2 linked regions of the Macaca fascicularis genome follow. The protein of the gene in region 1 interacts with the protein of each later gene in a biochemical or structural test. Links are inferred from orthologs where the notes say so. Each region holds a gene or a part of one and is shown on either strand. Other genes may lie near its edges.

Region 1 (3,806 bases):
CTTCGAGCTGGAGCCAAGCAGACACTGGGGACTGAGGAGGTGGCCAGCAGAGGTGAGACAGGTACACACAGGGGAACGGGCAGACAGGGAAACATACAGGGAATCACGGCAGCTGGAACGAGTCATGAAATGGAAAAAATGAAGGCTAGAATAAACCCCATGGTGTTGGAATGGAATTGGAAGTATTAGTGTAAGCACATGATTTTTATTATATATTTGTGTAGTTATAGAAATAGATATGTGGATGAGTATGTAGATATATGTATATACATACATACATCTTCTGGCTCTGTCTATAAACATTTGGTGAGATTGGCACTATCACCTTTATTTTGCAGATAAAGAAATTAGAGCATAAAATCAAACTTGGCCAGTGTCAAAAAGCTGGTAAGTGGAGAGGTCAGGATTTCACCCCACAGCCTACCCCTTACGTACCTACCACCATATCTACAGGCCATGCTGCTTAAGGATAAATTGTCACCAGGGACTGATGTGAGCACTCATCCTTCTTGGGACCCAGCCACATCCAGATGTCAATTGACTGAAATCTTATACTCTAAACTCCTAAAATACACATCTGGCTTTTTTCAAGACAATCTCACAAGATGACACCTTGCGATTCCTTGAAGTAATCAACAAACGAGCAACAAATTCCTAAGTGCCACTGTTTTGGGGCAACCCAATCTGAGCCCCACATGTGTCCCACGCACCTGTAGTAGCTGAGAACGTCTCGGTCCTCCTTCTGCCCTTCTTTAGCGTCCTGCGCCAACTCCCTCACACTCTTGCTACGAATCTCTTTGTTGCTGTCCCTCCAAAACAGCCACACCTCTTCCTCGTCTTCTCCTGCCTCCAGAGCATTCTCTCCAGTGGAAGAAACGCCTTCAAACTCAAAACGAGAAAGAACCAACCTGGAAAACAAGAAGAAGGAAAAACTCTATTTTTTAAAATACTTTGATATCTAGCTTCACTTTCAGCATAAAGACACACGGAAAGCCACTTTTTGTTTTGTATTTCACCCAAGGGCAGAGCCGCAGAGAGCCTGACATTAACATCTTCTTATACCGTAACCCAGTGGTTCTTGACTGTGGTGCTGCTGCTCCCAGTGGACATTAGGCAATGTCTCTGGACAGGTTTTTGGTTGTCACAACTGAAATGGAGAGGTGCTACTGGCATCTAAGTGGGTAGGGGCCAGGGATGCTGCTAAACATTTTACAGTGCCTAGAACAGAGCCACAACAAAGGATTACCCAGCCCGAAATATGAAAATACCTAAACTGAAAAACCCTGCAGTAGCCCAAGCCCAAAACTGAGTTATACATGAGAATCAATGCAGTATCACTAGCTCAGGACATAATTTAGTAATTTTTTTTAAATGTTGCCCATATTACTGGCACTATAGTTCTCAGGAAAACTGTTCCTTTGCCAAAAATGAATTACTACTGTTAAGAAAAATTCTTCAGACCAATAAACACATTCTGAAGAGTAATAACTTAAAACTCCTCCCAACATTGACTTAATCTTAACACTGAATATTAATTATGTCATTTGAAATTTTAGATTGACGGTCACACAGAGAGTTTTAAACTCTTAAAATGTAACTGTGTAAATTGCTCCCCAGTGAGTTTACATGACTTTTAAACTTGTATGCAAAGTAAGTGACACCACTATGCAGAGGAGGCCACACCAAAATCAAATTCAGTAATTCTCCTAATCAAGACTTTTCCAATAGGAAGATCAAATGCCAGCCATGCTGACTTTAGATCAACTCAAAAAACGATAGGGCTAGGTTTTATTCCTCATGAGCGCCAACACGGAATGAACCACATGTTTTCCATCTAAACCCCAGCTCCCCACTCACTTGGTCTCAATCAGGATGTCAGCATTGGTGGGATTCAGTACAGCTTTACATATTAGCTCCTGGGTCACTGGAATCGATTTGTTCATGGAGACACAGAGGTCGGAGAGGTAATCTAAGAATCTAAACGGAAACAGAAACAAAACATTTTCCATAGTTAGAGCAGAGGTTAGGCTCCTGGAGCCCAACCCTTCCTTAAGTGCACAGGTCCAATGTATCTTTACCAAGACATGTCAGCAGCATTCTAGGTCTCGATGCCAGTGTTTATGGCACCACCAGAAACCCACATGCTAGAAAGAAGGAAGAGGAAGCAAGAAGGAGAGACAGTAGTGGCTGTGGTCAAGGAAGAGGTGATGAGGCAAAGGTGAGAAGAAGGAACAAGACAAGAAAGAAGCTCACATAAGGAAGGTGTGGTGGAGATACAGGGGAACCACAGTGGTGAGAGGCAATGCCCCGATGTTTGGCTACCCGTGTTGGAAGCCCGGTTAGGATCTTATTAGTGGAGTTCTGCTATGGAGCGTTAATTTGGGGAAATTACTAATTTCACTGTGCTTTAGTTGAGGCTCATCTATAGAAAAGGATAATGTGTCACTTCTGAGGGCTGTCCTGAGGACTAAATGAGATGATTAACGGGAGTGCTTCCATTGCTCACTAGCTGGCCCGTGAGCAGGCTCCAGAAAACGCGGGTTATTTTCATGGGTGTAGTAGGTGTTTTTACAGCAACTGTGTCTGCGCTCCATTGTAATCATTTGTGACACCCACACTGTAAATTGCTTCCTGCTTCAACTGAAAATGTGGGTCTTAATTAGAAGGACAAGAGAAGGGGAAAGAAATGGGGACAGGGTGTACGAAAGAGGAGTAGATCTGTGTGAATGAGATACAATCAATAGAATTCACTAATCTATAATAAAAATGCTCAACCAACAACTGAACTTGCAAGACTTACTGATTATATTGAGGGAGGGGAGTGTTTAACTGATAAGCAAGGGGTGCTAAAAAGTGAATGAGGCCAAGTGCGGTGGCTCCCGCCTGTAATCCCAGCACTTTGGGAGGCCAAGGTGGGCGGATCACAAGGTCAGGAGTTTGAGACCAGCCTGGCCAATATGGTAAAACCCCGTCTCTACTAAAAACACAAAAATTTAGGCGGGGCGCAGTGGCTCAAGCCTGTAATCCCAGCACTTTGGGAGGCCAAGATGGACGGATCACAAGGTCAGGAGATGGAGACCATCCTGGCTAACACGCACAGTGAAACTCCGTCTCTACTAAAAAATACAAAATAACTAGCCGGGCGAGGTGGCAGGCGCCTGTAGTCCCAGCTACTCGGGAGGCTGAGGCACGAGAACGGCGTAAACTCGGGAGGCGGAGCTTGCAGTGAGCCGAGATCCGGCCACTGCACTCCAGCCTGGGAGACAGAGCGAGACTCCGTCTCAAAAAAAAAAAAAAACACAAAAATTTGCTGGGCGTGGTGGCAAGTGCCTATAGTCCCAGCTACTCGGGAGCGTGAGGCAGAAGAATTGCCTGGACCCAGGAGGTGGAGGTTGCAGTGAGCTGAGATCTCGCCACTGCACTCCAGCCTGGGCGACAGAGTGAGACTCCATTTCAAAAAAAAAAAAAGTGAATGAAAAGAGTGAGATCCAGTCATTTGCAACAACGTGGATGGAACTGGAGGTCATTATGTTAAGTGAAATAAGCCAAGCACAGAAAGACAAACATTGCATCTTCTCCCTGATTTGTGGGATCTAAAAATCAAAACAATTGAACTCATGGACAGAGAGAGTAGAAGGATGGTTACCAAAGGCTGGGAAGGATAGTGGGAGGGCAGCGGGGAGGTGGGGATGGTTAGAGGGTACAAAAAAAAATAGAAAGAACGAATAAGACCTACTGTTTGACAGTAAATGGGGTAATTACGGTCAATAATTTAATTGTACATTTTAAAATAACTAAAAGAATAG
Region 2 (4,410 bases), on another chromosome or scaffold:
CAGCACTTTGGGAGGCTGAGACAGGTGGATCACCTGAGCCCAAGAGTTCCAGACTGCCCGGGCAAAACAGTGTGACCCTGTCTCTATTATAAAAAATATTTTTTAAAAAAGAAATAGACTTAATGAGGTTAAGCAATTCAGTTAAGTTAAAAACAAATGAAACTTGGGGAGACATGAAAATTATACTTCCCCAGGGCTGTATTTTGTCCTAAGCAGATCTTAACTAAAAGTTTCTGTATTCAGAACCCCATCTGCCTTCTCTTGCTTCTGACCCTACCTCTAAGGACCGAAATCTCAATTCAGAGAAAAGGGAAGAAAAGATTAATTCCTCTCTGTCACAGGAGACTGGAGGCTCTGACATAAAAGTCCCAGCCTGGGTTTGTTGTTGTGGCTCACGTAGGTGACTTGGAGGTGTCAAATGGAAGCCCAAACTGAATGTGCTGGGCTTTAAAGTAAAAGCCCGCAGCTCTGAGACGCAAGAGCTTCCAGAGGGAGGTAGTAAATATTTGATGGGAACTTCCAGCTCCTCCTGACTCAGGTGACCCTGGTGACATTTCAGAACATTGGGCTGGATAATTCATTTAATGACTGAGAAATCAGAAGGAAAAACAAAAGTACGTCACTACAATGCTCGGAGCTCAGAAAGGGCTCATGCAGGCAAATTCTGCAAGACAGGAAAGAAAGGACTCTTTTTTTTTTTTTTTCAGGAGCTGAGTCAGATCAGCAGCAAACTGAGTAACCAGAAAGTGTATGATTCTAGCCAATGGCCTGCCGTTCCACACTGCTAGGTTCAGCCAGGGCCCTGGCTACCTGGTTCACCGTTGTCCTCCTGGTGTCTAGCAAATGTCTGAACAAACAAACCACAGGAACTAAGGAAACCCCTGAAGGTTTCCTTAATAAATGCTCAAGAAGTAATTGATAAATGAATGAATCGGTATCACCCATTCAACAAACCAGCATTCCTGCTGCAACCCAGCCCCAATCCAAAGACCACTAGTGCCCTGACAGCCTACACCTCCTCATTAACACAAACCACTGCAATGAACTCCCCTAACACATCGCCTCACTAACTCTCACGGCTCTGCATCCAAACCTCTACTCCAGAGAACTGTTTCCAGCTAACTCGGCTAACGAGGGCTCCCTGCAGGAACAAAGCCACACACCGCTGCCCTATGGCCCCACCACAGCAGCCCCACGCAACCCAAATCCATGTGCAGCTGCCTTCATGTCAGACCTCCACCAGCATCAGCCACTGCAGAGTAGTATTTTGAAAAGAAATGTGCAGATCTGAAGCAAAACACACAGGGCCTCCTTGGAATTCTGATCCGGCGTGGCAAGCCACGAGCTTGAAACAGCTTCTTTATTTTAGATCTTAGCACAGAAAGGCGCAGGCCCCCCTGTTTCCCTACAAACCATGCAAACGCTCTAATCAGACCTCTGCATGACACCTCTCAGAGGCTGCCACAGAACTGTCTCAAAGCTGTGCCAATGAGTTTGACTTGATTACAGACTCCGAACTAGGGGAAACCCTGGCTTTTTTGCTCGGGAGTTCAGAGGTTTCCTTCTACTGAGCTGTCTCCCCAGCAGCACAGCCCCCAACTGTAGACCTGGATTGTGACTACGGAGCAGTTTTTAAAGGGCAGGTGCCCAGGTGCCTGGGACTCTTGAGGAAAAGGTTGCGGGAACCACTGATGACCTCTTCGTGGCCTTTCTGACCCTTACAATGGCATCCCTGGAGTGACAGTCTCCTTAAACCACTCCAAAGTTCCAGTTTGAGCCACAGCTCTGCATGTCCCTCCATGCCTACCCAGATATCTCTTCTCTTTCCTCATATTTTTGAATCTCCTAACTTTTCCCAGGCCTTCAGGTACATGATAGGCAGTGGCTAATGTCCCTCGCCCTCAAGTAATTCTGTGTTCTCTGAGATCTCCTCTCTTGACCCCCAGACTCCAAACCGCTTGCTCTCCTGAGTCGCTCCCCGGCAGTACTGGCCAGAGGCCAGAGGAGTGGGTTTGGCGCCACCTGCTCGGAGCGCCCCTCCTCGACCCCCGCAAATCTCCAGGAGGGTCATAGAGGTCGCTCTCTTCCAGGACTGGCGGGTTCCGGCAGGTATGAGGGAGGTTATGGGGGAGGGCCTTGCCCCGAAGAGGCCCGGAGCGTGGACAGCGCACGGGGTGCTGAACCAGGCACGGGGAGGAGGAGTGCCGGCAAGGGCGCCGGCCCGGGGAGGACCGGGTGAGCCGAGGCGTGACCCGGGGGAGGGGGGCCACGGGCCGCAGGAGGAGGCTGTGGACGCGCAGCCGCGGCCGGCAGGGTCCCGAGCGCCTTTCCCGGGAGCGCTGACGGGAGGCGCGGCCCTTACCTGGCCGAAGGCGGAGCTGAGCATGGGGCGCAGCCTGTGGAGGAACGGGTCCGCCTCGGACGCGGCGGCTGGAACGGAGTCCCCGCGGCCCGGGGCTCGCAGAGAGCCCCGGAAGCCAAGCGCCGGGGACAGTCCCCGTTCCTCCCCATCCCGCCCGCGGGCCGGCGGCAGCGGCGACGACGGCGAAGGTCGGGACGCCACGGCCGGCAGCGCCTCCCGGGGCCTGCAGTGCGCCTGGGGGAGCCCACGCTGGCTCCCCCGCGCGCCCTCCTCTCGCGGCGCCGGCCGGCACAGGGGCCTCCGCGAACTGGGGTCCCCGGACGACTGCGGCGTCCCCGGGCAGGAGCCAGTTAGCCGGCGGCTGGGCAGCCCCGGGTCCCGGGCAGGGCCGTGGCGGGGAGCCCGGCTGCCCCCGCTCGCCGCCGCCGCCGCCGCCTTCAGCAGCGACGTCTTGGACTCGCTTTTGGCGATGTGCGAGCTCATCGCGGCGGGGCCCGCGCTCGCATGGCCCGGCGGGGGCGGCGCGGTGCGGCGTGGCGCGGGGCCCCCGGCGGGCAGAGAACGGGGCGCCCGGCGGGAGCCAAGCCCGAGGACGCGCTGGAGGCGGGCGCCGTCCCCCGGCCGCTTAAATGCGGCCCCGTCGCCGCCGCCCATGTGACAGCGCAGCCTCTATGCCCGGAGCCCGGAGCTCCCGGCGGCTGGCGGTGCAGATCTGGGGGCGCTGCCGGCTGTCCCCGGAGAGCCCACCCCCGGCTCCCTGGCGGCCCAGGTACCGCCGCGCCCCGCCCCTTGCCACGCCCCGCCCTGGGGAGCCCCGCTTCCGGGCGGCCCCTGGCGGCGAAGGGGACGCTGCAACGCTGAGCGGGAGCGCGAGGAGGGAAGGGGTTTGGCAAGGGGCCCCAAAGAGGCCGAGACCCCGAGAGTGCCGGCAGCGCTCTTTATCACGCCTGGAGGCTCCTGCAGAGTCCCGGAACCGCCCGAACCTCCAGAAATGCAGGCAGGGTGCACTCCCCAGGGGGTACAACTTTGGCAGTGAGGACCACAGAGGTCCAGGGAGAACCGGAGACCCGAGGAGCATGAAGGCACTCTATGACACCACTGCCTACAAACGCAGGGGCCGGAATGCAGTGACAGGACACTGCTGGGAGTAAAGGCTCTCAGCGCCTCCGTGGAGGGCTGCCTCCACTCCCAATATCGTGCGGGGGGACTAGGACGAGCCTGGTAAGTCAGTCACAGGATATCAGTTCTCAGAATAGAAGAGAAGCCAGGTCTGGACAGCACCTGATGATGGTCAACTCTCAGGTAGGACCCATTTGCTGCCCCTCCAGCTCTTGTCGCCTCTTTCACCTTCATGCCTTTCTAGATGCTACAGAAATTCCTGCTCTTGGTGGGCAGCCAGAGAGCCTCCCAGGCCTGATTTGAATCTCAAATCCCAGCTCTGCCACCTGCCATCTGGGTAACTTGGGCAGGTGTCACCAACCTCTCTGAGTCTTGTTCTCCTCTTCTGTAAGATGCAGATGATAAGTATAACTAATTTCTTGGTAACAGTAGACGATACTATGCACACAAAAGGCCTAGCCCAGTGCTTGGACAGGGAACCATCCAGTTAAGCCAGTTACCTTCCCCCTGCATCTCATGAGGCCCCATCTACCACTCTTCTTTAGTATCCGGTGCTTGAGATTTGCAGGGGGCTAGAGGGGTTCCTCCCAGGCTCTCCCTGTTCTGGTCCCTGGCCCCAATGCCATCCACCGTCTGGTCACTGCTCGGCCTCATTAAAAGGATACACAAGGCTGGGCACAGTGGCTCACACCTGTAATGCCAGCACTTTGGGAGGTCAAGACCAGCAGATCACTTGAGGTCAGGAGTTCAAGACTAGCCTGGCCAACATGGTGAAACCCCGTCTCTATTAAAAATACAAAAATGGGCCGGGCGCGGTGGCTCAAGCCTGTAATCCCAGCACTTTGGGAGGCCGAGACGGGCGGATCACAAAAAGTCAGGAGATCGAGACCATCCTGGCTAACACGGTGAAACCCCGTCTCTACTAAAAA

The links.
Region 2: the proteins of ITPR1 (region 1) and CABP1 form a complex in vitro, tested with the Homo sapiens proteins (2 studies listed by BioGRID). The link is inferred for Macaca fascicularis from reciprocal best matches to the Homo sapiens genes ITPR1 and CABP1.

What each region holds. Positions count from the first base shown.
Region 1 is NC_088376.1:142,893,893-142,897,698, reverse strand, and holds part of ITPR1 (inositol 1,4,5-trisphosphate-gated calcium channel ITPR1), read right to left. Parts: intron 1,978-3,806; coding exon 1,858-1,977; intron 909-1,857; coding exon 711-908; intron 1-710. UniProt on the Homo sapiens protein: Inositol 1,4,5-trisphosphate-gated calcium channel that, upon inositol 1,4,5-trisphosphate binding, mediates calcium release from the endoplasmic reticulum (ER).
Region 2 is NC_088385.1:127,678,652-127,683,061, reverse strand, and holds the start of CABP1 (calcium-binding protein 1), read right to left. Parts: upstream 3,077-4,410; 5' UTR 3,017-3,076; coding exon 2,363-3,016; intron 1-2,362. UniProt on the Homo sapiens protein: Modulates calcium-dependent activity of inositol 1,4,5-triphosphate receptors (ITPRs). Inhibits agonist-induced intracellular calcium signaling.